4 linked regions of the Anolis sagrei genome follow. The protein of the gene in region 2 interacts with the protein of the main gene of each other region in a pairwise test. Links are inferred from orthologs where the notes say so. Each region holds a gene or a part of one and is shown on either strand. Other genes may lie near its edges.

Region 1 (7,686 bases), on a different chromosome or scaffold from region 2:
AATAAAGGAGGAGCTGTCCAGACAATGTTCTGGACAGTCCCAAATTAATTCGCTATAAACCAGAAAAATCCCAGCTTGTAGCAAATTAATTTGATAGTTGATTTATTTGATGCCTTCTTGGAAGGTGTGGGATAAATCCACTATTTCCGGCATCTGGACTGCAGAATACTGCAGCTCAGACCGTATTCCCACAGTTTACCGGGCTAAATAAGGCCAATAACTGTGGGAATACCCATCCCCTCCCCTGAAGCCCCCAGATCCCTTAGAAAAGTAATAAAACTTACCTGGCCTCCATTACAAGCCTCGGCAGGCTCGTCGAGCAGGACGAGGAAGGGAGGAAAATTGCTCCCCTCCAGCTCTCCTGGCACATCATTTCTACGCGACGGGAGAGTCCACCGGAGCTTGTAATGGAGTCTGGGTAAGTTTTTATTACTTTTCTAAGGGGTCTGGAGGCTTCAGGGGAGGGGGGTAGGGCCTCCCTCCAGATGTTCTCTGGGATGGGTGTGGACAGGTCCGTGTTTTTAAAGTGGATTCTCCTGGGATAAAGGCCTGTCTGGATCTGGTCTCAGCTACCCGACACTATGAATGTAATACTTAACCAATAGTCTTCTTGAAGGAATTTTTTTGCTAATAGTCTTTTTGAGAAATTTTAGCAATTTTCTTCTTGCTTAGAAGGCTTAAAAATAGATCCTGTTCTGTGAATTTTTCAAAATTCTACTATCAGATTTTCTCAGCACTTGAGAAACACATTTTTCATAATTTTTGCATTATTTTTGTACATTAGTTCCATGAATACTTGTCAAAAAAAGCCAGCCATGCAGAATGTTTGCTGTGTGATCAATGCAGATGCCAATAAATGGATGTTGATAATTTACTAGGCTGTTAAAGTTGGTCTGAGCCAGATCAGTGTTGGAACATATAGTTCTGCCTAAATTATCAAAACTTTTCTGATGTTCCCAATGATTGGATTTTTCAAATGGCAAGACCGCATGGAGAAAAGTGTTGAAACAGCATGCCCATCTCTGAAATTAAAATTGTCTAAAGCAATTTTAGGCTATAGTACCAAATCCAAAAGTCAAACAGAAAGTCTACTTTAAGTGGTTGCTACTGAATATGATTGCTTTATTTTATTTATTTCCTGATGTCCAAACACTCCAAAGTAGATTAGAAGTTAAAATAAAAACAGTAGAATAATATACAAGAAAGAACTCTCTTCCCAACTCCTAAAATGGCATGTTATAGCAGGAAAGAACAGAATATTAGCTGTGATCAGCACAACTGGGTTATAGGAAAGTGTCACCTAACAAGTCCCATATCCTAGGGTGAAAACAGAGTTATTCAAACAACCTCTTGACTGCCACATTGCAAAGAAAGAACTGTTAAAATTTACAAGTGGCTCGCAAAGTGGTTGGATGAAAAACCTTGGGTAAGAAAAGAAAAGGTGAAGAGCATGGAGACCAGTCTGTAGGTTGTCTGGGGTCTGCTCTCTAAACTCTAAACATTAAAAGGATTTGGGGCTTATTGAAATTGGGTAAGAGGCAGAAAATTGTTGTAGCTGTCAAACCAGTTCCACTATGTTACATGAACTTAAGCAATGTTTCTTAAGTATGAGCGTATTAAGCCCTAGGCAACAAATTAGCACAGCAAAATTAGCACTTGAGCCATTAGAAATCCCTTCAAAGTGCTTCATAAACTTAGCCTGAGATCTGTTCAATCAACTAGATACAGGTTGGGTATCCCTTATAGAATTCCCAAATTCAAAACATTTCAAAATCCAAAATTATCCATGTGGGTGGCTGAAATAGTGGAAGTCTCACCTCCTGGTGCTGCAATGTACACTAACTTTGTCACATGCACAACATTATTAAAATATAGTATATGAAAACATTTCCAAACTCTATGAGTTGTGTCTCACCTCCAATATATTTCATTATGTATATGCAAGCATTGCAAAATCTGAGGGGGGGGGGTGGGGGGCAGAAATTCAGCACACTTCTGGTTCCGAGTGTTTAGGATATGGGATGCTCAATGTGGAAGTAAGCAAACACAATTTCACAGCTGTTTTTTATTCAGCTGTTTGTAAGGGTGTTCCATAGCATAATTTTGAGTAGTAGGGGAAAATGTATAACTTTCCAGCTCTTCTTGGGCTCAAATTGCCACCAACACTAGTCAGTATTTCCAGTTATGAGGGAACCCAATGCACCCTTCCACACAGCCATATAACTCAGAATATCAGGGCAGAAAATCCCACAATATCTGCTTCGCGCTGGGTTATCTGAGTCCACACTGCTGTATATTCCAGTTCAAAGCAGATATTAATAATAATAATAATAATAATAATAACAATAATAACTTTATTTATATATCGCTCTATCTCCACAGGGGGACTCAGGGCGGTTTCCATAGGTGGGATTTTATTCAGCTGTTTGGAAGGGGTCTAGTGGTAAGTTGATCTAGATCACGGCTATAATGCCTTTGCTGTTCCAGATGTTTTGGACTTCAATTGTCAGAAGCCTGCAACACCATCTCCAATGACCAAGGACTGTGAGTGAGAAACAGAGACGCTAGGTCCACCATCTACTGAGAATGCATGAAATACAACAGACAACTTATTTACACTACAGCAGAAAAATGAAAATACTTGAAAGCATCATTCGCTGAAAAAGTAGAGGATCTTTTACCAGCACTGAACAAATTCTCAACTTTTGTGGAAGTGATATATAAAACGACTTACCCATTTTGGAAATGTTGTTCAAGGTTTGAGCGTTGCACAATCTCTGAGCAGAAATCTGTGAAAGGACAGCTAACCAAGAGTTTATCCAAGAGTTTATTCACTAGTAAGCTGGATTTTCTGCAAGTCTGTAGTATCAGAGTTTTACGGTCCATAGGGCAGAAGTCTTGTTCCACTAAGAAATCTGTAAGGCAAACTGTGCAGAAGGTATGCCCGCAAGGTGTGTCCAGTGGTTCAAGCAAAGGTTGCAAACAAATGTGGCAAATGAGATCATCGTCCACATCTTCAGTGTAGGTATACATGTGGTTCTCTTCTGGTTGATGTGGCTGGCCACAGACCACACATAAGGAAACAGCGCTTTCTTCTGCTTCTCCTAATGGATCCTTTTGATTCATAACTGGAGAGTGTTGCATGACACAAAGGTCAAGGAAAAGATTTCAATTCAAATTTCAGTTTCAGTCCAAAATATTATCTGTTGTCTCAGTAGTTCTTCAGATCTGTAGGGAAGCATGATGACAAATCAAATGAAATTGTTTCGAAGCAACTGCATTATGAAGATTGATTATGACATACAATGCTCAATTAAACTTTCGTATGCGAGTCAATAGTCCATGACACTTTGGAAATTGAACAAGAACTCAAGATATACAGACACAAATTACAATATCAATTAAATGGATCAGCAACAGAAGATAAAAAGAATGAACAATTTAACCTATCTCTCCTAATGCTAACCAAATTCTCTCTGGTCAATTGTTTTCCAAATCCAGGTGCAACCACATACAAATGTTGTTTCTTTTTGAAGGCACCAAGAACTTGTCTCTCAGCAGATTATATAGTGTGCTACCGATTATGTAGAGAAATGAAGATGCTCAGAGGCTAGTCGATGCATGTTTTCAAGTTATTTCCAACATATAGTGACCCTTAAAACAATATCATTGGGTTTTTCCATCAAGGTCTGTTTGGGAGAGGGGATTACCTTTGTTTTCCTCTGAGGCTGGGAGAGTGTGATTTGCACAAGGTCACCTAGTAGGGCTACAAAGTGGAATTCACAACATGCGAGTGTGGAGAAGAGCAAACTACAGACCATCTGCTGCGATGTAACCTGAGTCCTGCTACATGCACCATGGAAGACCTTCTTGCAGCAACACCAGAGGCACTCCAAGTGGCCAGCTACTGGTCAAAGGGCATATAATCAACTACCAAGCTTACAAACTTTGTGTTTTGTTTGTTTGTGTTTTTTTGTTAAAAAATGCAATACAACTGTTTGGCTTGTTTCTGACACGATAAATAAATAACCTAGTAGGTTTTCATATCTGAGCAGGGATTTCAATATGATCTCCAGGCTCATAGTTCAACACTCAAAACACCACATGACATTGACTTTCTCTCCTCAACTGCTAAGGGTAAAGGTAAAGGTTTTCCCCTGACATTAAGTCCAGCCATGTCTGATTCTGGGGTGTGGTGCTCATCTCCATTTCTAAGCCGAAGAGCCGGCGTTGTCCATAGACACCTCCAAGGTCATGTGGCTGGCATGACTGCATGAAGCACCGTTACCTTCCCGCCGAAGCGGTACCTATTGATCTACTCACATTTGCATGTTTTCGAACTGCTAGGTTGGCAGAAGCTAGGGCTGACAGTGGAAGCTCACGTTGCTCCCTGGAATCGAACTTGCGACCTTTTGGTCAACAAGCTCAGCAGCTCAGTGCTTTAACCCACTGCGCCACCGGGGGGCCCTTATCCTCAACTGCTACCCGCCCATAAATAACCCACATCCCCAAAATTACAAATTTATCAACAAAATTGAAAATAAAGACCTACTCATGGATAAAGTAGGATAAAGACCTACTTTCACTTCTGACCCATTTGTCCAATTCAAAGGTTAACGAGAGAAGCTGAACTATATGAAAGAACAGATTAAAATGATCAAGGGTCTGGAGAACAAGCCCTATGAGGAACGATTTAAAGAGCTGGGCATGTTTAGCCTGAAGAGGAGAAGGCTGAGTGGACACATAGCCATGCATAAATATGTGAGAGGAAGTCATAGGAAGGAGGGAGCAAACTTGTTTTCTGCTGCCCTGGAGATTAGGACATGGAACAATGGCTTCAAACTACAAGAAAGGAGATTCCATCTGAACATGAGGAAGAACTTCCTGACTGTGAGAGCCGTTCAGCAGTGGAACTCTCTGCCCCAGAATGTAGTGGAGGCTCCTTCTTTGGAAGCTTTTAAACAGAGACTGGATGGTCATCAGTCGGGGGTGCTTTGAATGCAATTTTCCTGCTTTTTGGCAGCGGGTTGGACTGAATGGCCTATGAGGTCTCCTCCAACTCTATGATTCTATGATTCTATACTCTGGTTGGCTACCAGTAGAACTGGTATTGTAGAACTGTCAATATACTATGCTGTGAAAACTCTCTTTCTTTAGCTTCAAAAGATCATACTGCCAAAATACGTAAGATTAGTATATTATTGTTATTGTTAGCACTCATTTAATACTCACAACAATCCTGCAAGGTAAATTAGAATGAAAAGAAGTTATGCAGCAAGCTTTATAGCTAAATTGGAACGAAAGCATGGTCTCCATTTAGGTGTTGCACCAAACTGGTTTCATGTTTTATCGTACAAGACTGATTTGAAATGAATTCTACAAAAGGTTGGTTTTTTTGTTTTTATCCAATTTTGCAATTATGGCAATTTGAAGAAAAAATTAAAAGAAGAGAAAATAAAGGTTTTTTCCAAAGGAAAGGTCTGTTTTGTAATAGCAACGAGACGGGGTAGAGATGAAGAATCATACTCACTGATGCCATATGGCTGCCATCAAATTGGAACAGAAGCAGAAGGAACCTATCATACTGAAATAAAGAATGGTATGGCAATGGAATGAATAGCCATTAACTGTTACTATCTATGAAAAGGAGTCCTATTAAAAGGAGTAATGAGGGAAGCAAATGACCTCTTCACAGGGGGCTAAATTCAGTGGTATGCACCAATTTAGTCCAGGTACCCATGGAGCCCACCGGCTCGCATCAGACAACACTGTGCTGGCTCTATGGGTGAAGAAGGGCAGAGCTGGTGCATTTCACTGCCGTGGCAACATGGGAGACTTTAATGGAGAGAAGCTGCACACACCACGCTTCTCCCATGGGATCAACTGCCGGGCAATGAAGGGTATGGGGTGGCCACTTCTCCACCCCTTCTCCATCCCTCCCCCCCCCCCCCCCGTGAAACACAGAGATGTGGGGCATGTTCAACGGCCGTGTGACAAGGTCAAAAGAGGCAGCAACTATTGACAATAGACATTATTATCCTGCTACAATTGTGGTTGGCCAGCCTCATGTGATAAGTTCCAATGTTGACATGAAATAAGAATGATTTTTAAGGCCTAGAACCCATTCACACTATACAATTATAGCACTTGTATACCACTTCAACTGCCATGGTGCCATCCCTTGCAATCCTAGGTTTTGTATTTTAATGAGGCACTGGGGAATTCTGGCTGAGAATTCTAGATGACCCTTCATACATTTCCAGTCCTAGGATCCCATTACATGGAAGTACTTAAGCAGGGGGACAGCAGGGGAATCTGTCGGTCAATGGGGCAAATTTGTTGGGCAGTGAGGGAAATTGACATTAATTGCCCTGCATTGCTTGCTTCCCTATCACATGGGGAAAACCATTGCTGCCCGGCTTCCCTGTGTTGTCCCCAGCTTAGGTAAAGAGAACATAAGTAGCCACCCATGTTCTCAGGGCTTCATCCAATGATACTGCTAGGATGAAACCCACTGGATATAGCCCTGCGTCATGTGATGGGTTCCATTGGGCTCCATCCTAGAAGCATTGTAGGATGGAGCAAAAGACTCATGCGATGAGGTCCCATGTGATGGAACCATGGCAGTCAAAGTGGAATGAGCCTTCTTGAAATTATTTATTTATTTAAAACATTTAAATTTCGTCCCTCTCACCCCAAAGAGGACTCAGGTCAGAGCACAACATATATATGGCAAATATTCAGTGGTGGAACTTAAAATAAACTATAAATATACATAAACACTCAAATCAATTATCTTCACTTTAAAATCAATTGTTTTAAACCATCTCAGATCAGCCATACCGGATCCGGTCAGTAGGGTAAAATTTCCTATTGTTGCCTTATTGCACTGTCCCAAAGGTAATTCCGCCTGTGGAATTCACTCCCCAGGGAAATTAGGTCATCGGCATCCCTCCTCAACTTTAGAAAGAAGGTAAAAAAGTGGATGTGGGATCAGGCCTTCGGGTAATTAGGCGGAAATGACAAATGACAATTTTGACAATGGCTTGGAAATGGATTATGGATAAGTTTAATGGAATACTCAATCACAGCATACGGCTAGATAATGGCCACCAGACTGTTAATAGTTCGGTAAACTATAAGTATATTGTTTTAATGTTTTTATGCTTTTAACTGTTGTAATTATTGGTGTTTTGTATTTTATTATGCGGCATCGAATTGTTGCCAATTGGAAGCCACCCTGAGTCCCCCCAAGGGTTGAGAAGGGCAGGGTAAAAGTGTTCAAAGTAATAAATAAATAAATTTATATCCTAGAATCATAGAATCAAAGAGTTGAAAGAGACCTCATGGGCCATCCAGTCCAACCCCCTGGCAAGAAGTATTTAAATCACCCCCTGACAGATGGCCATCCAGCCTCTCTTTAAAAGCTTCCAAAGAAGGAGCCTCCACCACACTCCAGGGCAGAGAGTTCCACTGCTGAACGGCTCTCACAGTCAGGAAGTTTGCTCCCTCCTCTCTGTGGCTTCCTCTCACATATTTATACATGGCTATCATATCTCCTCTCAGCCTTCTCTTCTTCAGGCTAAACAAGCCGCTCCTCATAGGGCTTGTTCTCCAGACCCTTGATCATTTTAGTCTCCCTCCTCTGGATACATTCCAGCTTGTCAATATCTCTCTTGAATTGTG
Region 2 (8,275 bases):
ACAGATCTCTCGGACGACAACAAACCCAACCTCCAAGGAAGGCCCTTCCTCTCCTTCCAAGCCTTACAGTTTCCTGAGTACCACCGCCCTCCCTCCCTCCCAACCCCACACCAAACATTTCCTATCCCTCCCTGCGTTGCAATTCCGCAGGCCACCTCCCAAACCTGGATTTTCTTGCCCAGACTCACTTTTCTCCTCCTCCTCCTCCCACTTCAGGACTTTTCTTCCTTCTTTCTCTCTCCCCTGCTCCCTGCAGTGCACGCTGGGAAACGAAGGGAAAAGGCGGAGTCCCGTCATCCTGGGAAACGGTCCCTTTAAGAGGCTCCAGACCCTGAATTGGTCCTCCTCCATCTATGTCTCCTTCTCTGCTCTCCTTCCCTATCGCCCCCTCCCGACCAGAAAAAAGGTTCTTCCATTCGACTGCCTAGAACTCTCTGCTGAATGTCCTGGATGAGCTAACCCTAAAATCCATAAATGCGAGGGTTGAATGAAAAGTAATGCCTCCACCTTCTTTACTTGGGTTTGGATGGGAATATTTTAGGAAACCAAACGCAGAAATAATCCTTAGAATGTGCTCTTTAACTACCACTATTCACTTTTCCACATAATTGCCAGATAATTGGATACAAACAGGGATGTGTTATTGCCCCAACCTTATTTTCCATCTTCATCGCTATGACACTTCATCTAGTTGATGGGAAGCTTCCCACCAGAGTGGAAATGATCTGCGGACAGAAGGCAAGCTATTTAACCTCAGCAGACTCAAAGACAAAACCAAGGTTACAACATCTATTATAGAACTCCAATATGCTGATGACAACGTCATCTGTGCGCATTCAGAAGAAGACCTACAAGCCACTCTAAACACCTTCGCAGAAGCATATGAGAAGCTCAGCCTATCATTAAACATCGAGAAAACCAAATGCTCTTCGAGCAGTCACCAGCCAATCCCTCTTCAATGCCAGAAGTACAGCTTAATAGTTTAACATTAGAAAATGTTGACCATTTCTGCTACTTTGGCAACCACCTCTCCATAAAAGTCAACATTGACACTGAAATACAACACTGCCCTGAGCTCTGCAAGTGCAGCATTTTTCTGAATGAAGCAGTGTTTGAGGACCGGGACATCCATAGGGATACCAAGGTGCTTGTTTATAAAGCTATTGTCCTCCCCACCCTGCTATACTCCTGCGAGACGTGGACTCTCTGCAGATGTCACATGCAACTGCTGGAACGATTCCATCAGCGCTGCCTCAGGAAAATCCTGCAAATCTCTTGGGAAGACAGGCGGACAAATGTCAGTGTGCTGGAAGAAGCAAAGACCACCAGCCTTGAAGCGATGCTCCTCCGCCATCTACTTTGCTGGACCAGCCACGTTGTCCGAATGCCTGATCACAGACTCCCAAAGCAGTTACTCTACTCCTATGGCAGTCACACTGTACTTGCAAACGCTTGCTCCAAAAGCCAAGTTATGACTTTCCTCCAGAATGTTAAAATGGAGGGAGCTGATCTAATATCCCTAGGGAGGGCGTTCCATAGACAAGGGGCCAACACTGAGAAGGTCCTGTCTCTCATCCCCGCCAGTCGTGCTTGTGATGAGGGTGGGATCGAGAGCAGGGGCTCCCCAGACGATCTTAAAGCCCTGGAAGGTTCATAAAGGGAGATGCATTTGGACAGATAAGTTGGGCCAGAACTCTCTGAGTGATATGATGATCATCCTAAATCAATCTGTCAACCTTTTGCTTGTGAAACTCGGTGGTTGCTGTCAGAGGACGTCCAGCTTTTGTTTGTTGCACAAATCAGATTGTTCCCACCTCAACATCTTTAAACTTACTTGCCCAACGACACACAGTACTCACATCAACACAATCAACATAAACAGCTTGCATTCTCTGATGAATCTCCTTTGGGGTGACACCTTGTGCTGTGAAGAATTCACTGCCTCTGAGGATGGCTGGCATAGAGGTTCCAGAAGCATTCTCTCCTGAAGTTTCTCCCCCATCTATGGCAGGCATCCTCTGAGGTTGTGAGGTGTCTTGTCTTCTTCAAACAAAGAAGAGTTCTTTCTCCCACCCTGGACATTCCACAGATATATAAACTCCATTTTCCTACTTTCCAACAGACCTCACTACCTCTGAGGATGCTTGCCATAGATGTTCCAGAAGTATTCTCTCCTGAAGTTTCTCCCCCATCTATGGCAGGCATCCTCAGAAATTGTGAGGTCTGTTGGAAGCTAGGCAAGTGGGGTTTATATATCTGTGGAATGTCCAGGGTGGGAGAAAGAACTCTTGTCTGTTTGAAAAAGGCAAGGGATCTCACAACCTCTGAGGATGCCTGCCATAGATGCAGATGAAATGTCAGGAGAAAATGCTTCTGGAACATGACCATACTGCCCGGGAAACTCACCACAACCCAGAGATTCCGGCCACAAACGCCTCTGACAATACAAAATCCCACACTTCCTCCCATGCCATCCAACCTGCCTGCTGTCCCCCATGCTTCCAAGGAATTGCCCCAATTTCTCAGATCCTCCCTTTTAGCAAAAGATGAAAAGGAACAGGAAAACACATTAAGGATCACCATCAGAGCATCCTTTTCTTCCTGTTATATTGTCACAGGGCCCTTCCTCAAGCCCTATATCTCAGGGCCCTTCCACAAAGTCATATAACCCAGAATATCAAGGCAGGAAATCCCACAATATCTGCTTTGAACTGGGTTATTTGAGTCCACACTGCCATATATTTCAGTTCAAAGCATAAAATGTGGGATTTCATTCAGCTGGGTGGAAGGGCCCCCAGAGTCCGCACTCAGATAATGTGGGATTTCCTGCCTTGATATTCTGGGGGGCCTTCCACCCAGCTGAATAGGGCTGTGTGGAAGGACCCCCAGCAAAGACAGGACAGGTTTGGGAAGAGGAAGCAAATGGCTATTCTTTGGAGCCACTTACCTTCTCTTCCCCCAACTCGGAAAGAAAGATGGGAAAGAAGAGCATGCTGTCACTATGGAGAGATCAAAAGGCAAAGAAAGAAGAGAGCGGAGGGAAGAAGAAAGGATGTGGGGAGCAAGGCAGGAGAGGAAAGAAAAGTGGGAACTTGGAATGACAGAAGGAGACAATGACAGAAAGAGAAGAAGCAGACAAAAGGAAGGAAGGAAAGAAGGAAGGAAGGGCAGACAAAAGGAACAGGGAGGAAAAGAGGAGAGAATGGCAGCAAAAAGGGGGAGAGGGAGGCCAGAAAGGAAGGAGAGGCGAAGGGGGCTTCAAGGGCCTCATGAGGGGGAGAGGCCGGGGCCATGGAGGGGAAAGGGGGCTCACCCACCCGGGAGGGACCGGCGAGCATCACAGAGGACGGGCAGGGCGGCAGAGCCATCCAGGGGCCTGGCAGGGGCTGCAAGAGGCGGGGCGGTGGTCCACTCCGCTCTTGAAAGGCAGGAAGAAAGGCAAAATCCAGCTGCTTAGGTGAACCAACTATGTTTTGGAATAACAAAGCAACACAACAAAGGGGAGCCCGAGCTCAAACCACACCCCTTTACCTTCAACCCCAACCTCCCCACCCCCTCCTTGCCATGCAGAGGGCTGGCTTGCCAGACTTCACTCTGCACGTGCTCAGAGGCATGCTTTCCCTTCATTGTTGCTTCAACCGTTCTGGAACATTTAGGGCGGAAAGCTGCTCCTGACCAGGTGAAAGGCAACTGGGATTTTGTCTTTGATACCTCAGTTAATAAAGCCTGTTCAGGTCTTCTTGGCCTTCTACTTCTCTTTCTCATCCTCAGTGGTTCTCAATTTGGGGTCCCCAGATGTTTTTGGCCTACACCGGGATTGTGGCGCAGCTGGCTGAGTGTCAACTGCATTAAGATCACTTTGACCAAAAAGTCATGAGTTCGAAGCCAGCCCGGGTTGGAGTGGGTTTCCAACCAATTGTGTAGCCTGTTGTCGACTTTTGCAACCCGAAAGACAGTTGCGTCTGTCAAGTAGCAAAATTAGGTACCACCTTGTGTGGGGAGGCTAAATTAACTAATTTATGAGGCCATAAAAAAAGACTCCAGCAAAGCATTCCAGTGGGGAAGCATGCGGGGAATGCGGAAGTGCTTCATCAGCGTCGCAGATGGACGATGAAAGTGACAGCTCCCCTGGTGTCCAGAAAAAGTTAAATAGCCTCTGTCTATGTCTGTATATGTTTGTATGTCAAAAATTGGCATTGAATGTTTGCCATATATGTGTACACTGTAATCCGCCCTGAGTCCCCTGCGGGGTGAGAAGGGCAGAATATAAAAGCTGTAAAAAATAAATAAATAAATACAACTCATAGAAGTCCCATCCAGTTTACCAGCTGTTAGGATTTCTGGGAGTTGAAGGCCAAAAACATCTGGGGACCCCGGGTTGAGAACCACTGGCAGGTTTAGCCGCAGCTCCTTGGTAAGGCTGGAGAAACAGAGTTTAGCAAGGCTGGGAAAAGGGACTTGTAATTGTGTTGTCTTCGTGCTTCCAAAGCAGCATGCGTTTGAATGGGGAAACAACCCTACACTGGTTTGCTGTGAGTTTTCCAGGCTGTGTGGTCATGTTCCAGAAGCATTTTCTCCTGACTAGGCAAGTAGGGTTTATGTATTTGTGTAATGTCCAATGTGCTGTCGCATGCTGGGCCTGTGCATAAGACTGTAGACAGGACATAAATTCTGTGTGCCCAATGGGACTCCAGGGCTGCCTCAGATTAAAGGCCCTTGGATTTCCTTAAAACAGAGTCTTTAGATTGTTTAAAGGTTCAACAATGTTCTTTATTGATGAAAACAAACAGGTACTTTAAGGCTTTCTTAACAGTCTATTGGCTCTCTCTCAATCTTGTCCACAGGGAACAGGCACTATCTTCATAACTGTAACTAATGGGGAAATCCTTAACTTCTAACCTGGGCAGTCTGTCTTTGCCTCTATTGGCATGGAGCCCCTGCACCTGGTACCAACTGTTTCTGGCTTCCGCGAGTGACCCTTACCAAGCAGAGCTTTGTAGACTTCCAAGGGAAAAGGAGTTCAGGTTTCGGTGATGGCTGGCTGAAGTCCTTCATCTAAGTCATAAGTAAAGATGTTGAACAGGACTGGGCCCAGGACGGAACCCTGCGGCACTCCACTTGTCACTTCTTTCCAGGATGAAGAGGAAGCATTGGTGAGCACCCTCTTCAGAAAGACTTCACCCCACAGCCTGAGGAATAGAGCTCCCAAAATCTATTTCTCACCAGTTCAGCCCTCCTGCTACATATGGTGGCCTATCAAGGTTTCAAACATGCATTCTACTTGCTTACCTGAGATTAAAGATACAGCTGTTATCCAACACCTTAGGAAGCCCACATTCTGTGGTTAACCAGGTGCCAGAAGCTAGTCTCAGAAACCTTTGCCTATTGTATATTTTCAGGTAGACATGTAGTACTTCAAGAATACTATTTTCTCTCATCAATCCTTCCCCTCCAGCAGCTTTCGAAATCAGGTCCTTGAGATATTTTTGATTTTAGCGAATATGAGCAGTGCTCAGAAATATTAGGACTTGAAGTTCCAAACATCTGAAGGATAGCAGTTTGAGAACCAATACTTTAGGTTCTTGTGGGTTTTTTCGGGCTATAGGGCCATATTCTAGAGGCATTTCTCCTGACGTTTCGCCTGCATCTATGGCAAGCATCCTCAAAGGTAGTGAAGTCTGTTGGAAATAGGACAATGGGTTTATATATCTGTGGAATGGCTGGGGTGGGGCAAAGAGCTCTTCTCTGCTAGAGGTAGGTGTGAATGTTTCAGCTGACCATCTTCATTAGCATTTGAAGGCCTGCCTGAGCCTGGGAAAACCTTTTGTTGAGAGGTGTTAAGATGTGCCTGGTTGTTTCCTCTCTGCTGTTTTGCTGTTGTGATTTTAGAGTTTTTTAATACTGGTAGCCAGATTTTGTTCATTTTCATGGTCTCTTCCTTTCTGTTGAAATTGTCCACATGCTTGTGGATTTCAATGGCTTCTCTGTGTAGTCTGACATGGTGGTTGTTGGTGTGGTCCAGCATTTCTGTATTCTCAAATAATATGCTGTGTCCAGGCTGGTTCATCAGGTGCTCTGCTATGGCTGACTTCTCTGGTTGAAGTAGTCTGCAGTGCCTTTCATGTTCCTTGATTCGTGTTTGGGCAATGCTGCGTTTGGTGGTCCCTATGTAAACTTGTCCACAGCTGCATGGTACACGGTAGACTCCTGCAGAGGTGAGAGGATCCCTCTTGTACTTTGCTGAACGTAGCATTTGTTGGATTTTCTTGGTGTGTCTGTAAATAGTTTGTATGTTGTGTTTCCTCATCAGCTTCCCTATGCGGTCAGTGGTTCCCTTGATATATGGCAAGAACACTTTTCCTCTGGGTGGATCTTCATCTTTATTCTCGTGGCTTGTTCTTGGTCTTGCAGCTCTTCTGATGTCTGAAGTGGAGTCTCCATTGGCCTGGAGAGCCCAGTTTAGGTGGTTCAGTTCATCTTGGAGGAGGTGGGGTTCGCAGATTCTTTTTGCACGGTCTGCCAAGGCTTTAATGGTGCTTCTTTTTTGACTTGGGTGATGGTTGGAGTTTTTATGTAGGTATCTATCTGTATGTGTGGGTTTTCTGTAGACAGTGTGACCCAATTGTTGATCTGGTTTGCGGATGACTAGGACATCTAGAAAAGGCAGTCTTCCTTCATTTTCTTTTTCCATACTGAATTGGATGTTTGGGTGGATGCTGTTAAGATGGTCCAGGAACCTGTTGAGTTCTTCTTCTCCATGGCTCCAAATTTGGTACGATGAATGAAAATACATCCTGCCTATCAGATGTAACGGCGCTCCATGCAGTCATGCCGGCCACATGACCTTGGAGGTGTCTACGAACAACGCTGGCTCTTCGGCCTAGAAATGGAGATGAGCACCACCCCCCAGAGTTGGACACGACTGGACTTAATGTCAGGGGAAAACCTTTACCTTTATTAGATGTTTACATGATGATTCATAACAGCAGCAAAATTATAGTTATGAAGTAGCATCAAAAATAATGTTATGAAAAATGTATTGGACTGGTCTTGCTCACAACGCTCAGAATAGGAAGAAAGGGAAGGTGGGAGAGAGAGGTAGGCAGGTAAATAAGTTGGTTGAGGGCCCCACACATGTGTACATGTACATGTAAAGAGAAAAGCTGAGAGTTAATCCCGGCAGTTGGAACAAATGGCTTGGGCCCCGCCATAGCCCCGGCAGTCAGGCCCTACACACTGGCAGCAGGCATTGTGGAACCAGCGGTAGCGCCAGGCTCCCACTGATTGGCAAGCTGTCCGGCATCGGCTCATGGACAGGCACTCGTTGAAGAAAATGGACTGGCAAGGTGGTGTGGTGGCATTGAGGCCTTCAGCATCTGGGAGAACCAAGCCTGCAAGTGAGAAGAGGAAAGTTCATGGCTGTGTATCCTTCATTATTGCGACATCAATGCTTTCTCCTCTGGGCCAGGTACACTTACCTGTGTGTGGCCCCAGCAAGAGATGGTCTGTCTCTACGTGGTTCTGCCTCAGCTCCTCCTCAACTGGCAAAGTCAAGATGCTCCAGCCCATGGGAGACTCGTTGTCAGAGATGGCTGTGAGTGCCCGGAAAAGAGAGGGCACGGGAGACATCAGGTTGTGCATAGAGCTTCGCTGGGCCGGACGAGGGGCGGAGAGAGGACGTTCATCGCAGAGCCCTCGGGAGGAAAAAGTCAAGTCAGAATCCTTCCTTGGTAAGCTCTAGAATTCAAAGCCTGGCCCCCTTCCCATGCAAAAATACAGAATGGGGGACGCCTGGCTCGACAGCAGTACATGTGAAAAAGATCTTGGGGATCCTCGTGGACAGGAAGGTGAACACAGCCAACAATCTCATGTGGTTTCTAAAAAAACCAATGGGATTTTGGCCTGCATAAATAGGAGTATAATGTCTAGATCCAGGGAAATCATGCTACCCCTCTATTCAGCCTTGGTCAGACCACACCTGGAATCACACTGTGTCCAATTCTGGCCACTGCAATTGAAGGGTGATGTTGGCAAGCTGGAATGTGTCTGGAGGAGTGCAACTAAAATAATCAAGGGTCTGGAGAACAAGCCCCATGAGGAGCGGCTTAAAGAGCTGGGCATGTTTAGCCTTCAGAAGAGAAGACTGAGAGGAGACATGATGAGGGCCATGAATAAATATGTGAGTGGAAGTCACAGGGAGGAGGAAGCAAATTTGTTTTCTGCTGCCCTGGAGACTAGGATGTGGAACAATGGCTTCAAACTGCAGGAAAGGAGA
Region 3 (7,499 bases), on a different chromosome or scaffold from region 2:
TCCCCTGGTGACCAGAAAAAGTTAAATAGCCTCTGTGTATGTCTGTATATGTTGTATGTTAAAATTGGCATTGAATGTTTGCCATATATGTGTACACTGTAATCCGCCCTGAGTCCCCTGCGGGGTGAGAAGGGCGGAATATAAAAGCTGTAAATAAATAAATAAGTTCTGACATTCAGATATAACTTATACATGAGAGCTGCAGCCTGTTAAGTACAGTTAAAAATAAAATGTAATGACAACCTACATACATGACATTTTGACACTTGGTGATACAAGTCTGCATCAGAACAATTAAGGTTTTGAATTACAGCAACTGGCTAACAGGAAGTGTATTTCTGTTACACTCAATACAAACTGTCTTGACAGTTTGTCACACAAGAAACTGGTCCTTGTATTTCTAAATTACACAAAGAAATAGATACATTTCTTCCCTACAGCTCCTTCCAGACAGGTGCTCCAGATTCGTATTTGCAGTAAGGGAAAAAAAAAAACAGAAGAGGAGGAAAACCAGAAAGAGCAAAATTAATCACCTTCTTTTAAGTTTTGATTTTACACTCCAAACTGCTGCATCATTCGACCCTATTGCACAAGCATCCATCAAACCCAAAATAGCCTCACTTAATAAGCAAAACTAAAATGAAATCTGAACACTTTAAAATCAATGCACGTCTTTCCAGCAAAAACAGAAAAGCCACAATCGCGTGCCCCCCCCTTTTGGCAAGAAAGACATTTACCAATGACAGGATATATACATCCATCGAACAATTTATGAGAGACATGTATGTATTAACGTAAAATCTATCAAATGCTCACCTTCCTACGTTTCTTCCCCAAAAGAGAGAGCTCCACGTTGATATGATTGAAGTCCCGTCGGAGGGTTCCTCTGGGGCCCTTGACAATGACTGTTCGCCCCTTCAGGGCAATGTCAACTGCGAGAAGTAAAACACTGTATGACACTGAGGAACTCATGAAATATAAACAGTTTTATAAATTAAAAAAGCTCAAAGAAATGTACATACCTTTCTCAGGGATGTCAACAGTCTGGTTGCTGAGAATAGTCTTCATTTTGAACCTAAACAAAAGAGACACAACAAAGAGCCACATGTATAATAAAACCACATGGTGTTTTATAGTTTTCAGGTAGGAAGCTATGATAAAATCAAGCAGATTTTTTTTTTGCTCAAATTCATATGTTTTAAGTACAATATTGCTAAAACTATCTTGGCCCACATTTTCTTCACTGACATCAATCAGTAAACATTTGTACGTATATTGGTTTGAGTTATGATCATCTCCATTCAGTTTCAAAGGCAGGCCTCTGCAATGAGCAAAATAGGTGCTATCTATTCTGAATGGCACAACTTGGGGATCACAACCAGATACAGTGAAGACATCTGCCCTTGCACTTTGTTACTCTGCTGCTGAGTATGTATGCCCGATGTGGAACACATCTCACCACGCTTAAACAGTGGATGTGGCTCTTAATGAGACATGCCGCATTATTGTCTGTGCCCTACACCACTGGAGAAATTACAGTTTAGCTGGTATTGCACCACCTGACATCCGCCGAGGAGTAGCAAACAATAGTGAAAGGACCAAGGCAGTGACATCTCCAGCTCATCCCTTGTTTGGGTATCAGCCAGCATGCCAATGACTTAAATCAAGAAATAATTTTCTAAGATCTACAGAGACACTCGCTGGAACACCTCAGCAAGCGAGAGTCCAAAAGTGGCAGGCTGAAACCCAGAACCTCAATCAATAGTTGATACCAAATCAGAGGTGCTGAACAGACTGCACTCTGGCACCACAAGATGCAGAGCCAACCTTAGGAAATGCGGCCACAAAGTGGAATCCACAACATGCGAGTGTGGAGAAGAGCAAACGAATGACCACCTACTGCAATGCAACCTGAGCCCTGCCACATGTACAATGGAGGACCTTCTTGCAGCAACACCAGAGGCACTCCAAGTGGCCAGATATTGGTCAAAGGACATTTAATAGAATACCAAGCCTGCAAACTGTGTTTTATTTGCTTTTAATGCAATACAACTGTTTTGGTTCGCTCCTGACACGATAAATAAATTCTGAAAACCATTCATAGAATCAGAGTTGGAAGAGACCTCACGGGCCATCCAGCCCAACCCCCTGCCAAGAAGCAGGAATATTGCATTCAAAGCAGCCCTGACAGATGGCCATCCTGCCTCTGTTTAAAAACTTCCAAGGAAGGAGCCTACACCACACTCCGGGGCAGAGAGTTCCACTGCTGAACGGCTCTCACAGTCAGGAAGTTCTTCCTAATGTTCAGATGGAATCTCCTTGTAGTTTGAAGCCATTGTTCCGCGTCCTAGTCTCCAGGGAAGCAGAGAACAAGCATGCCCCTCCCCCCTGTGACTTCCTCTCACATATTTATACATGGCTATCATATCTCCTCTCAGCCTTCTCTTCTTCAGGCTAAACATGCCCAGCTCTTTAAGCCGCTCCTCATAGGGCTTGTTATCTAGACCCTTGATCATTTTAGTCACCCTCCTCTGGACACATTCCAGCTTGTCTCTCTTCAAATGTGGTGCCCAGAATTGGACACAATATTCCAGTTGTGGTCTAACCAAGGCAGGATAGAGGGGTAGCATGACTTCCTTAGATCTAGACACATTCCAACCATCATGGCACAGATAGGGCGTTATATTGTACAGATTGGTGAAATCACAACCTTTAAGCTTCACTAACATTATATGCGACTAATTTCCAGCTTCCATTTTTCCCCAGGCCCAACAACATCCTGCTAAGCAATATTGGGGAACTGTTTGGGCTCTTAAGTGGGCAAAACAGTCCACGCATGCGTAGACGCGCCTGTCTCCCCTCAACGAAAAGAGGCCTTGTTTCTGGCCCTCTTTCCTCCGGAGCCCAGCCGAATTAAAGACCAGAGCTGTTCCCGACACATTCAGTGACATTTGCCTTTGGTTGTCGCGGGGCGTCTACACCACTCAAGTGCCTCCGCTCTTGAGATGGAACCGGATTTAACCGGCCCTCCGACTCCCGAAAAGAGACGCGTCCCTTACCTTTCACTTCACAGAAAGGCGGAAAGGAAGAGCGTGCTGCGTCATCACGCTTTTATATGGCCACGCGACGTTCTCCTGGTGACGCTATTACGTCAGGGATGGTGGACTCGACCAATCAATCGCCACGCAGGACGAGCAGGCGATTGCAGAGCTCTGAGGGACGGAGAGAGGCCGGTATGGCGTTGCTCCAGCGAGGCCTCTCCAGCGGGGCTGGCTCTTTGTCGAAGTTGAAGAGGCTGGCGGGGCTGGAGAGGCCGGTGAGTCTCCGGGAGGGCGCCAGGGCCGCTTCAAGTCGAATGTGGGATATTGTGTTGTCATGTCACCTCACACAGGTGACCCTGTTTTGTTTGCGGCCTATCCTGACGTCACGACAGGGTCTCATTAGCAGGTGCTCAGAAAGTTTGGTTTTGCCCTTCCTCTGTGGCTGAGAGAGTTTGGAAGGGGAATGTTTTCTTTTGAAAACGGAGGCCCCATCTACACTGCAAATTTATTTATTTATCGTGTCAGGAGCAGACCAAACAGTTGCATTGCATTTTAAACAAACAAACAAAACACAAAGTAGTTGATTAAATGTCCTTTGTCCAGTATCTGGCCACTTCTGGTGTTGCTGCTTCTGGTGTTGCTGCAAGAAGGTCCTCCATTGTGCATGTGGCAAGGCTCAGGTTGCATTGCAGCAGGTGGTCAGTGGTTTGCTCTTCTCCACACTCGCATGTCGTGGATTCCACTTTGTAGCCCCATTTCTGAAGGTTGGCTCTGCATCTCGTGGTGCCAGATCGCAGTCTGTTCAGCGCCTTCCAAGTCACCCAGTTTTCTGTGTGCCCAGGAGGGAGTCTCTCATTTGGTATCAGCCATTGATTGAGGTTCTGGGTTTGAGCCTGCCACTTTTGGACTCTTGCTTGCTGAGGTATTCCAGCGAGTGACCTCATGGACCAGCTCACACCTGAGCTCCCTATCAGCTGTCACCACCCCCAGCTCCTTCAAGATCAAGCCAGTCACTTCAAGGATGCCATTCATCCATCTTGCCCTTGGTCTGCCCCTCTTCCTTTTTCCTTCCATTTTCCCCTTTCTTCTCATGATGTGGCCAAAATACTTTATCTTTGCCTCTACTATCCTTCCCTCCAATGAGCAGTCGGGCCTTATTTCCTGAAGTATGGACTGGTTGGATCTTCTCGCAGTTCAAAGCACTCTCAGAACTTTCTTCCAGCACCACAGTTCCAAAGCATCTATCTTCCTTTGCTCAGTGTTCCTTATGGTCCAGCTTTCACATCCGTAGGTTACTACGGGAAATACCATTGCTTTAACTATGCGGATCTTTGTTGCCAGTGTGATGTCTCTACTCTTCACTACTTTATCGAGATTGGTCATTGCTCTTCTGATTTCCTGACTGCAGTCTGCGTCTGCAGTAATCTTTGCACCTAGAAATACAAAGTCTGTTACTGCCTCCACATTTTCTCCCTCTATTTGACAGTTGTCAATCAGTCTTGTTGCCATAAGCTTGGTTTTTTTGATGTTTAACTGCAACCCAGCTTTTGCGCTTTCTTCTTTCACCTTGATTAGAAGGCTCCTCAGCTCCTCCTCGCTTTCAGCCATCAAAGTGGTATCATCTGCATATCTAAGGTTGTTAATGTTTCTTCCAGCAATTTTCACCCCAGTCTTGCATTCATCAAGCCCCACACATCACATGATGGGTTCTGCATACAAGTTGAATAGGTTGGGTGAGAGTGTAAAACCCTGCCGTATGCCTTTCCCAGTCTTGAACTATTCTGTTGTTCCATGGTCAGTTCTTACTGTTGCTACTTGGTCATTATACAGATTCATCAGGAGAGCCTCTACACTGATTTATATAACCCAGATCAATATAGTTCATCTGCATTCTAAAACTGCATTATAAGGCCAGTTAGATTGAACCTGAGTTTCTCCTGTAAGCACATATTTCACAAGTAAAGATCCAGCCAGAAGTCAATGGTCCAAAGTCAAACTTGAAGGTCCCTTCTACACTGCCATATAAAATCCAGATTATGTTCTTTGAACTGGATTACATGGCAATGTAATCCAGTTATATAATGGATCATATAATGTAGACTTTTTATGGAACAAGTTTATGTCATCAGTTGTGGACCCCTCCCCCCAGCACCAACTGCCGCTCTGGGCCAGAGTGAAGAGAGGGGGGGCCAGGGGACAGTTCCACCTTGTCTCCTGTACTATGCTAATATAATATTATGTATATACATATAATAGTTGTAATATTATAATGTAATACAACATAATACTACTAACAGTATGATATTATTATATATCTTATATTACATGTAATACTAATAATATTACAGTATAATGGTATACTACAATAGGGTAATATATAATACTGATATTGTATTATGCTAGTAATATAATATATTGTATGTATATATCTTATAAGCCATACTGAGTCCCCATCAGGGTGAGAAAGGTAACATGCAAATGCCATAAATAAATAAATAAATAAATAAATAAATAAAATTCAGTCCAAAGCAGATAATGTGGATTATCTGCTTTGATAATCTCAATTATATTATATTATTTATTTAAAATATTGATACCTCATCCTTCTTGACCTCTGCAGAGGGACTTAGAACAGCTTCCAAACAGGCCACAATTTGATGCCAAACATAATATAAAACACATAATAAATACATCCACAAAATTAAAATAATTCTAAATATGCATTTAAAACCCACTTGCCAGATTAGAATCACCAGAATTAAAATCGTCATCCAAAGTAGTCCGGTCCAAAAAAACTTGTCTTTCCCAGTAAACAAACTATTCTGTGAACACCTGATCTCATAACTAGGATTTAAGCTTCTTCTGGAAGGTCAGGAGGGAGGGGAAAGATCTAACCTCATTGAGGAAGCAGTTACACAGCCAAGGGGCCACCACGGAGAAGGCCTTGTCTCTTGTCCCCACTAAATGTGACTGCAGAGCAGAGCCTCCCCTTAAGATCCTAGACGGTTCATAGGGGAGATACGTCCGGACTGCATTGTAGTGCTCGCTGCTGCATTATAGATAAATTTAGAGCACGTAGCCATCATGTTGTTTTTGGACTGGAAGTAGTAAAATATATATTTTAGGCTCCATTAAAGGGCTGTGTTAAAAGATCCAAGCCTATATCCATTAGAAGGGAGATTAACACATTTAGAGGCACCATTGAGTGGACCAAATTGTTATTTTATAAATGTAAATTTTGCACCGATGAGTGTATATTCTCGTAATAAAATAAAATCAGCGATGTCCAAGACTTCCAGAGCTGGAATCACTAAGTTCAGACCTCACAACCTCCGAGGATGCCTGCCATAGATGCAGGCAAAACGTCAGGAGAGAATGCTTCTAGAACATGGCCATATAGCCCTAAAAACCTACAATAACCCAAAATTAGCTATGATGGCATCACAGTCAGGATCACATCAGTGACAGAAGTCATTAACCATAGGTTCTTAATTATTAACATCCAGAGGTTTTGAGAAATACTTATCACCAGTTCAAACAGCTGTATTGGAAACTACATGCATTGGTTTGTTAACTTTCCCACTTCCTTAAGCAGCTTTTCATATTACTAGGCAGCTCTAGAAACTGGAGAGAACTTGACAACGGACCTGTATTACAATTAGATAAGAATCTTCCTGGAAAGTGGGAATAATTGAAAATCCTGTCCTTCATCATTTGGACTATAAGATTACTTGCCATGATTATAGCTTTTTTGGGAGGAGGAGGAGTATGTGGTCCTCCAGAAACTATTGGGGTGCCGCTCCCATTAGCCCCAGCCAAAATAACCAATGAGGAATGATGGGGGTTGTAGTCCAGCAATAGCTGAAGGGTTGTACGATTTCTCCTCCTACTCAATATATGTCTATGGATATAGCTGATTTTATGTTTACTATTTGGAATAATGCCGCTACGTTTTTCTAGGTGCTTGGAAGCAATATACATAACCAATCTAGACTATCAAGCTCATTGCCAGAAGAACAGAAGGCATCTTTACAAACTGGACCGGATTTACAAGACTTTGTATCGGGGGAGCTTTCAGACAAAACTAAGTGGACAGAATATAAAGGCAAGTTAAAGCGTCAAAAAGGAGAAAGGTGAGTAATGTTAGAGTCGCCTAATCTAGGCTGAAAAATGCGGTATAGAAGTAAAGCAAATAAATAAATAATAATGCTTCCAGTTATGAATTACTTTATAACTATCTGCAATGTTATGCTGCTGGTAACAAGATCCAAAGTTTCCCTTTACCCGAATGAAATTTTGTATCTTTGTCACTTCCTTATTAAACTAGATTGCAGGCTTTTAAGAAAGCCTAGTGTTGATGTTGTTAGGAGGAATTTCTGAATTAAAAAAAATACTTTATATCATCCAGAAAGTGGTATTATAGATTGCCCAAATGACCATTTTAACAAGTGTTAGATT
Region 4 (8,112 bases), on a different chromosome or scaffold from region 2:
TCACTTTGCATTTTGTACATTCCTTTTCAGGATATTTTTCCCCTCTTCTGATTTACAGAATTTGTGTTTTGCACAGCTAAACAACACTCTGGTAACGTATACGCTACTTTGCACTGTAGAAGAAGTCCAAAACTTCAATGCTGGTGCCTAGGAAACAGACATTGTTTTCCTGTCCTGCAACAAGCTTTTTCTGTTTCCAAAACTGCCCCAAAAAAGCCTGTTTCTCAACAAATATCACACGAGAAACTCAACAATTTGACTAATCCAATCAACTGAGATTAGGTTGGACTTGTATTTGAATCAGCGAGAAGGTTACAGCCCCAGAATATGTGAAGCAATAAAGAGAGTGCCTCTGAACATGTCAAGGGTGTCTTTCTTTTTTATGATTCAACTGCCACAATCAGCTTTACGTGAAACTAGAAAGTACGAGGGTTGAATGAAAAATAATGCCTCCACTTTCATTACTTGGGTTTGGATGGGAATATTTTAATAAATCCAATGCAGAAATAATCCTCAGAATATGCTATTATTATTATTATTATTAACTTTATTTATAACCCGCAAAATCTCCCGAAGGACTCGATGCGGCTTACAAAGGCCAAGGCCGCCAACAACAACAACATACAATACACAGTAAAACTCATAAGCAAATAATAAAACATAAAGCAAACAATAAAACAATGACACAGTGCTGTTTAACTGCCACTATTCATTTTTCCACATACTGTCCATAGACATCTCCAAGGTCATGTGGCCGGCATGACTACATGGAGCACTGTTACTTTACCACCAAAGCAGTACCTATTGCTCTAGGCACATTTGCATGTTTTCAAACTGCTAGGTTGGCAGAAGCTGGGACTAACAACAGGAGCTCACACAGCTGCTCAAATTCAAAACTGTGACCTTTCGGTCAACAAGTTTAACCCACTGCGCCAAGCAGTTTGATTTTTTTTTTTGTTATGTCAGGAGCGACTTGAGAAACTGCACATCGCTTCCGGAGTGAGAGAATTGGCCGTCTGCAAGGTTGTTGCCCAGATGTTTTTGATGTGTTACCATCCTTGTGGGACGCTTCTCTGATGTCCCCACATGAGGAGCTGGAGCTGATAGAGGGAGCTCATCCATGCTCTCTCCGGATTCGAACCTGCGACCTGTTTGTCTTTAGTCCTGCCAGCACAGGGGCTCCATAACAGTTTGATGATAATAATAATAATAATAATGATGATGATTATGCGTTTGCATATTTGCTGTCTTCCACACATACCTGGCCAAGGACAGGTCCCAAAGGCGGTCCCGGAACGGCCTGTCCCGCTCGGATGATGGCCCGGATGACATTTCCAGGGTCCACCTTTTGTACGGTTTTGGCTGCACGAGAGATCTTCGACATGGCTTCGATTCAGTCTGCAGGGATACAGTACCTGGATTGGAAAGAAGAGTAAAAGACTTTGGGAAGACTGGATCCTAGAAAGTTGCAATCTTGGGAAGAGATAGCGTCCCAGTTTAGGAGAAAGGAGGTAAATAAACAAAAGGAAAAGGAGGAAACAAAGAAACAAGACACGGAATGAGGAGGAAAGAAAGACAAAAGGGAAGTGTTGATTATTATTATTATTATTATTATTATTATTATTATTATATTAAGGGTATTATTATGACCTTGAAGGAGCTGGGGGTGGTGACGGCTGACAGGGAGCTCTGGCGTGGGCTGGTCCATGAGGTCACGAAGAGTCGGAGATGACTGAACGAATGAACAACAACAACATTATTATTATTATTATTATTATTATTATTATTATTATTAGCAGTGCCCTGACATATGTTGCTGTGGCCCAGTCTGGTGACCTGGAAAATAAAGTCATAAGAAAATGTTGAATGTATTGTCGAAGGCTTTCATGGCCGAAATCTCTGGGTTGTTGTAGGTTTTTTCGGGCTATATGGCCATGGTCTAGAGGCATTCTCTCCTGACGTTTCGCCTGCATCTGTGGCAAGCATCCTCAGAGGTAGTGAGGTCTGTTGGAACTAGGAAAAAGGGTTTATATATCTGTGGAATGACAAGGGTGAGACAAAGGACTCTTGTCTGCTGGAGCTCGGTGTGAATGTTTCAACTGACCGCCTTGATAGCATATAATGGACCGACAGTGCCTGGGGCAATCTTTTGTCGAGAGGTGATTAGATGTCCTTGTCTGTTTCCTCCAACAATTGGGTCACACCGGTTACAGAAAACCCACACACACAGATAGATATCTACATAAAAACTCCAACCATTACCCAAGTCAAAAAAGAAGCACCATTAAAGCCTGGAAATAAGTAAATAAATAAATATTTGGGCATATGGAATGTTCATGCCAAGTTTGATTTGAGTCCACAGTGCTGTCTGGGTGTAGGTGAACTAAGACTCCCAAACTCAAGGTCAATGCCCACCAAACCCTTCCAGTATTTTCTGTTGGTCATGGGAGTTCTGTGAGCCAAGTTTGGCTCAATTCCATTGTTGGTGGAGTCCAGAATGTTCTTTGATTGTAGGTGAACTATAAATCCCAGTAACTACAACTCCCAAATGTCAAGATCTATTTTCCCCAAACTCCAGCAGTATTCATAATTGGGCATATTGAGTATTCATGCCAAATGTGGTCCAGATCCATCATTGTTTGAGTCCACAGTGATCTCTGGGCGTAGGTGAACTACAACTCCCAAACTCAAGGCCAATGCCCACCAAACCCTTCCAGTATTTTCTGTTGGTCATCAGAGTTCTGTGTGCCAAGTTTGGATAAATTCCATATTGGTGTAGTCCAGAATGCTCTTTGATTGTAGGTGAACTATAAATCCCAGTAACTACACCTCCCAGATGTCAAGATCTATTTCCCCCAAATCCCATCTCTGTACATATTTGGGCATATGGAATATTCATGCCAAGTTTGGGTCGAGATCCTTCACTGTTTGAGTCCAGAGCGATCTCTGGATGTAGGTGAACTTCAACTCCCAAACTCAAGGCCAATGCCCACCAAACCCTTCCAGTATTTTCTGTTGGTCATGAGAGTTCTGTGTGCCAAGTTTGGCCCAATTCCATCGTTGGTGGAGTTCAGAATGAACTTTGATTGTAGGTGAACTATAAATCCCAGCAACTACAACTCCCAAAATGACAAAAATCATTTTTTGGAGTGAAGAACATACATTGGGTTGTGAGGTGCCTTGTGTCCAAATTTGGTGTCAATTCATCCAGTGGTTTTTGAGTTCTCTTAATCCCACAAACATTACACTTTTATTTCTATAGATATAGATACATTATTACATAATAATAATAATAATAATAATAATAATAATAATAATAATCCCCCTGATTTCCTTGTGATGACCTATCCCTGGCCCTTCTTCCTCCCTCAACCCCAGTAAGTTGCTTTAACTTTCTACTCACTGAAAGCATTTACTCCTTCTTCCTGAATGCCGCCATCTTGGGTTACGGAAGCGGGGGTCAAAGGCGCAAAGGACGCCGGGAAGCTTTTGAGCCGCGCTAGGAAGTCAAAATGGCGCCCGTTGCCATAGCGACCAGGGAACTCAGAGAAAGGGAAGAGAGAGCAATGCAGGCCCTTCCACTCACCCCCATTGGGATGTTCAATGTATTTTCGAAGGCTTTCATGGCTGGAATCACTAGGTTCTTGTAGGTTTTTTTCGGGCTATAGGGCCATGTTCTAGAGCAGTGGTTCTCAACCTGGGGTCCCCAGATGTTTTTGGCCTTCAACTCCCAGAAATCCTAACAGCTGGTAAACTGGCTGGGAATTCTGGGAGTTGTAGGCCAAAAACATCTGGGGACCCCAGGTTGAGAACCACTGCTCTAGAGGCATTTCTCCTGAGGTTTCGCCTGCATCTTGATATTGACAAGCTGGAATGTGTGCAGAGGAGGGCGACTAAAATGATCAAGGGTCTGGAGAACAAGCCCTATGAGGAGCGGCTTAAAGAGCTGGGCATGTTTAGCCTGAAGAAGAGAAGGCTGAGAGGAGATATGATAGCCATGTATAAATATGTGAGAGGAAGCCACAGGGAGGAGGGAGCAGATCAAGGGTCTGGAGAACAAGCCCTATGAGGAGCGGCTTAGGGAACTGGGCATGTTTAGCCTGAAGAAGAGAAGGCTGAGAGGAGATATGATAGCCATGTATAAATATGTGAGAGGAAGCCACAGGGAGGAGGAGGGAGCAAGCTTGTTTTCTGCTTCCTTGGAGACTGGGACGCAATGGAACAATGGCTTCAAACTACAAGAGAGGAGATTCCACCTGAACATTAGGAAGAACTTCCTGACTGTGAGAGCCGTTCAGCAGTGGAACTCTCTGCCCCGGAGTGTGGTGGAGGCTCCTTCTTTGGAAGCTTTTAAGCAGAGGCTGGATGGCCATTTGCCAGGGGTGATTTGAATGCAACATTCCTGCTTCTTGGCAGAATGGGGTTGGACTGGATGGCCCATGAGGTCTCTTCCGACTCTTTGATTCTATGATTCTATGATCTATGGCAAGCATCCTCAGAGGTAGTGAGGACACTACCTAACATTGTCCTAACTACCTCAGAGGTAGTTAGGACAATGGGTTTATATATCTGTGGAATGGCTGGGGTGGGGCAAAGAGCTCTTCTCTGCTGGAGCTAGGTGTGAATGTTTCAGCCGACCACCTTCATTAGCAGTTGAAGGCTTGGCTGAGCCTGGGGAAATGTTCTGTTGAGAGGTGTTTATTTATTTAGCTTATATACCGCTGTATCTCAAGCCCGAAGGCGACTCACAGTGGTTCACAAACAGTAAAAACAGTAGAAACAGCCGTGGTTCCATACAACATATAACAATTGACTTAACACATTGTCCATAAACTACCAATAAGCAATTACAATGCACAATTATTACAAAAAACAACCATACCCAATCTTCTCATCATCCAAGCGTAGTCCAGGTTCGTCGTCCATTGTTCCATTCCTATGTTCCATTACCAGATTGCACTAAATTACTCAAACGCCTGCTCAAACATCCAGGTCTTCACCTTTTTGCGGAATACCATTAGAGATGGTGCTAGTCTAATGTCCGTAGGAAGGGCGTTCCACAGCCGAGGAGCCACCACCGAGAAGGCCCTATCTCTTGTCCCCGCCAGCCGAGCTTGAGAAGCAGGCGGGATCGAGAGCAGGGTCTCCCCGGAAGATCTCAAAGTCCTGGTGGGTTCATAGGCAGAGATGCGGTCGGATAGGTAGCTTGGGCCGGAACCGTTTAGGGCTTTAAAGGCCAACGCCAGCACTTTGAATTCAGCCCGGTAGCAGATCGGTAGCCAGTGGAGTTGGCGCAACAGGGGGGTTGTATGCTCCCTGCGCTCCGCTCCTGTTAAAATCATGGCTGCCGAGCGTTGGACTAGTTGGAGCTTCCGAGCTGTCTTCAAAGGCAACCCCACGTAGAGAGCGTTGCAGTAGTCTAAACGGGATGTAACCAGAGCGTGGACTACCGTGGCCAAGTCAGACTTCCCAAGGTACGGGCGCAGCTGGCGCACAATATTTATTTATTTATTTACTTTACTTGTATACCGCAGTTTCTCAGCCTCACGGCAACTCAACGCGGTTTACAACAAAGGTACAACAATCAACAATATACAATTTAAAACCACAAAAACATAATACACAATATTGACACAGCAATAACAACCCAATGCATCTCTTAACTGTGTTAAGATGTGCCTGGTTGTTTCCTCTCTGCTGTTTTGCTGTTGTAATTTTAGAGTTTTTTAATACTGGTAGCCAGATTTTGTTCATTTTCATGGTGTCCTCCTTTCTGTTGAAATTGTCCACGTTTGTGGACTTCAATGGCTTCTCTGTGCAGTCTGACATGGTGTTCTCAAATAATATGCTGTGTCCAGGCAGCAAAGGACAAGAGGGATCCTCTCACCTCTGCAGGAGTCTACCGTGTTCCATGCAGCTGTGGACAAGTCTACATAGGGACCACCAAACACAGCATTGCCCAAACACGCATCAAGGAACATGAAAGGCACTGCAGACTACTTCAACCAGAGAAGTCAGCCATAGCAGAGCACCTGATGAACCAGCTTGGGTCATGAGGGGTTTTGTGTACCAAGTTTGGTCCAGATCTGTCATTGATGGTGGTCACAGCGTCTCTGGGCGTAAGTGAATCCAGTTCAATGGTCCAGATCTGTCATTGCACATCGAGAAAACCAAAGTGCTCTTCCAGCAGTCACCAGCCAAGGTGGAATCAGGTGTCAAACAGGGATGTTATTGCCCCAACATTATTCTCCATCTTCATTGCTATGATACTTCATCTTGTTGATGGGAAGCTTCCCACTGGAGTGGAAATCATCTATCGAACAGATGGCAAGCAATTTACCTCAGCAGACTGAAAGCCAAAACCAAGGTTACAAATAACATGTTATAGAATTTCAATATGCTGATGACAATGTCGTATGTGCACATTCAGAAGACCAACAAGCCACTCTAAATACCTTTGCAGAAGCATACGAGAAGCTTGGCCTGTCATTGAACATTGAGAAAACCAAAGTGCTCTTCCAGCAGTCGCCAGGCAATCCCTCTCCAATGCCAGAAATACAGCTTAACGGCGTAACATTTGAAAATGTGCACCATTTCCACTTCCTTGGCAGCCACCTCTCCAGAAAAGTCAACATTGACACTGAAATACAACACCGCCTGAGCTCTGCAAGTGCAGCATTTTTCCGAATGAAGCAGAGTGTTTGAGGATCGGGACATCTGTAGGCAGACCAAGCTATTGTCCTCCCAACCCTGCTATACGCACTATAAAAGGAACTGAAGGTACATGGGGAAATTAGTAGTTATTTTCTGTCTTGTGTGTGTAGTAGCAATAAAGCTGGCTACGTCCACCTGGAATGTACTGGTTAACTGCTAGAAACTACTAGCAGAAACTGCCATAACAACACCAATTTCCTCATGTACCTTCAGTTATTACAGACTAGCCACCCCCTGCCATGCATTGCTGTGGCCCAGTCTGTGTATGTGTTTTGTGTGTATATATTTGTGTATATATGTGGTTTTGTGCATGCGTTGTAATGTACTTTTTATTTTTTGGATTTTTAAGTTTTGTCTGTGTTTTTCTGAGTGATGGTCACTCGTTGGCCTGATAGGTTTATTGTGTCCAAAATTGGTGTCAATTCGTCCAGTGGTTTTTGAGTTCTGTTAATCCCACAAACGAACATTACAGCCTTACATCCCCTGCCACATTGCACATGGGGGTTCGGTGTGGGAAGTTTGGCCCAATTCTATTGTTGGTGGGGTTCAGAATGCTGTGATTGTAGGTGAACTATAAATCCCAGCAACTACAACTCCCAAATGTCAAGATTCTATTTCCCCCAAACTCCACCAGTGTTCACATCTGGGCATATTGAGTATTCGTGTAGAGTTTGGTCCAGATCCATCATTGTTTGAGTCCACAGTGATCTCTGGTTGTAGGTGAACTAAAACTCCAACACCAAACCCTTCCAGTATTTTGTGTTGGTCATGGGAGCCCTGTGTGCTAAATTTGGTCCAATTCCATCGTTGGTGGGGTTCAGAATGCTCTTTGATTGTAGGTGAACTATAAATCCCAGCAACTACAACTCCCAAATGACAAAGTCAATCCTCCCCTCAACCCCACCAGTATTCAAATTTGGGCGTATCAAGTATTTGTGCCAAATGAATGAAAATACATCCTGCATATTGGATATTTACAAGATGATTCATAACAGGAGCAAAATTATAGTTGTGAAGTAGCAATGAAAATAATGTTATGGTTGGGGGTCACCACAACATAAGGCACTGTATTAAGGGGTCACGGCATTAGAAAGGTTGAGAACCACTGTTTTAGATGATGGTCATGATTTGAGTGCCTGTGGATTCCCAGGCTGGCCAGTCCCAGGATAATGAGTTATTCGGCCTTGAAGGTGATGGGGATTTAGTTAGGGAGGACTGTTTGCAATTAAGAGTACGCCGAAGTTCTCGGCTTGCTAACAAATGGTCAACGTAATGCTTTCATGCTAGGAAAGCTTATTTGACGATCTGATTGCAGTCAACCCTTTGTCAGTGCAACTTTGCTTACACCCTGTTAACTTCTTTGGAATTGTCTCGGCTTTTGGTTCTTTGTGACTTTGG

What was found.
Region 1: the proteins of HOMEZ (region 2) and LNX1 interact in binary tests that used the Homo sapiens proteins (3 or more experiments, as listed by UniProt). The link is inferred for Anolis sagrei from reciprocal best matches to the Homo sapiens genes HOMEZ and LNX1.
Region 3: the proteins of HOMEZ (region 2) and RPL9 interact in binary tests that used the Homo sapiens proteins (3 or more experiments, as listed by UniProt). The two-hybrid records come from large-scale screens. The link is inferred for Anolis sagrei from reciprocal best matches to the Homo sapiens genes HOMEZ and RPL9.
Region 4: the proteins of HOMEZ (region 2) and MRPL11 interact in binary tests that used the Homo sapiens proteins (3 or more experiments, as listed by UniProt). The two-hybrid records come from large-scale screens. The link is inferred for Anolis sagrei from reciprocal best matches to the Homo sapiens genes HOMEZ and MRPL11.

Annotation. Positions count from the first base shown.
Region 1 is NC_090025.1:74,812,604-74,820,289, reverse strand, and holds the start of LNX1 (E3 ubiquitin-protein ligase LNX), read right to left. Parts: upstream 3,154-7,686; 5' UTR 3,145-3,153; coding exon 2,735-3,144; intron 1-2,734.
Region 2 is NC_090026.1:9,112,328-9,120,602, reverse strand, and holds the start of HOMEZ (homeobox and leucine zipper protein Homez), read right to left. Parts: upstream 3,488-8,275; 5' UTR 3,318-3,487; intron 3,132-3,317; exon of another isoform or gene 2,948-3,131; intron 434-2,947; exon of another isoform or gene 189-433; intron 1-188. Other genes in the region: twisted gastrulation protein homolog 1-B-like, read right to left, coding at 7,171-7,391, 7,479-7,694. UniProt on the Homo sapiens protein: May function as a transcriptional regulator.
Region 3 is NC_090025.1:80,543,071-80,550,569, reverse strand, and holds the start of RPL9 (large ribosomal subunit protein uL6), read right to left. Parts: upstream 3,135-7,499; 5' UTR 3,060-3,134; intron 1,076-3,059; 5' UTR 1,069-1,075; coding exon 1,023-1,068; intron 933-1,022; coding exon 817-932; intron 1-816. Other genes in the region: LIAS (lipoyl synthase, mitochondrial), read left to right, coding at 3,236-3,316, 7,002-7,174.
Region 4 is NC_090032.1:17,364,897-17,373,008, forward strand, and holds the start of MRPL11 (large ribosomal subunit protein uL11m), read right to left. Parts: upstream 3,487-8,112; 5' UTR 3,404-3,486; intron 1,416-3,403; 5' UTR 1,385-1,415; coding exon 1,262-1,384; intron 1-1,261.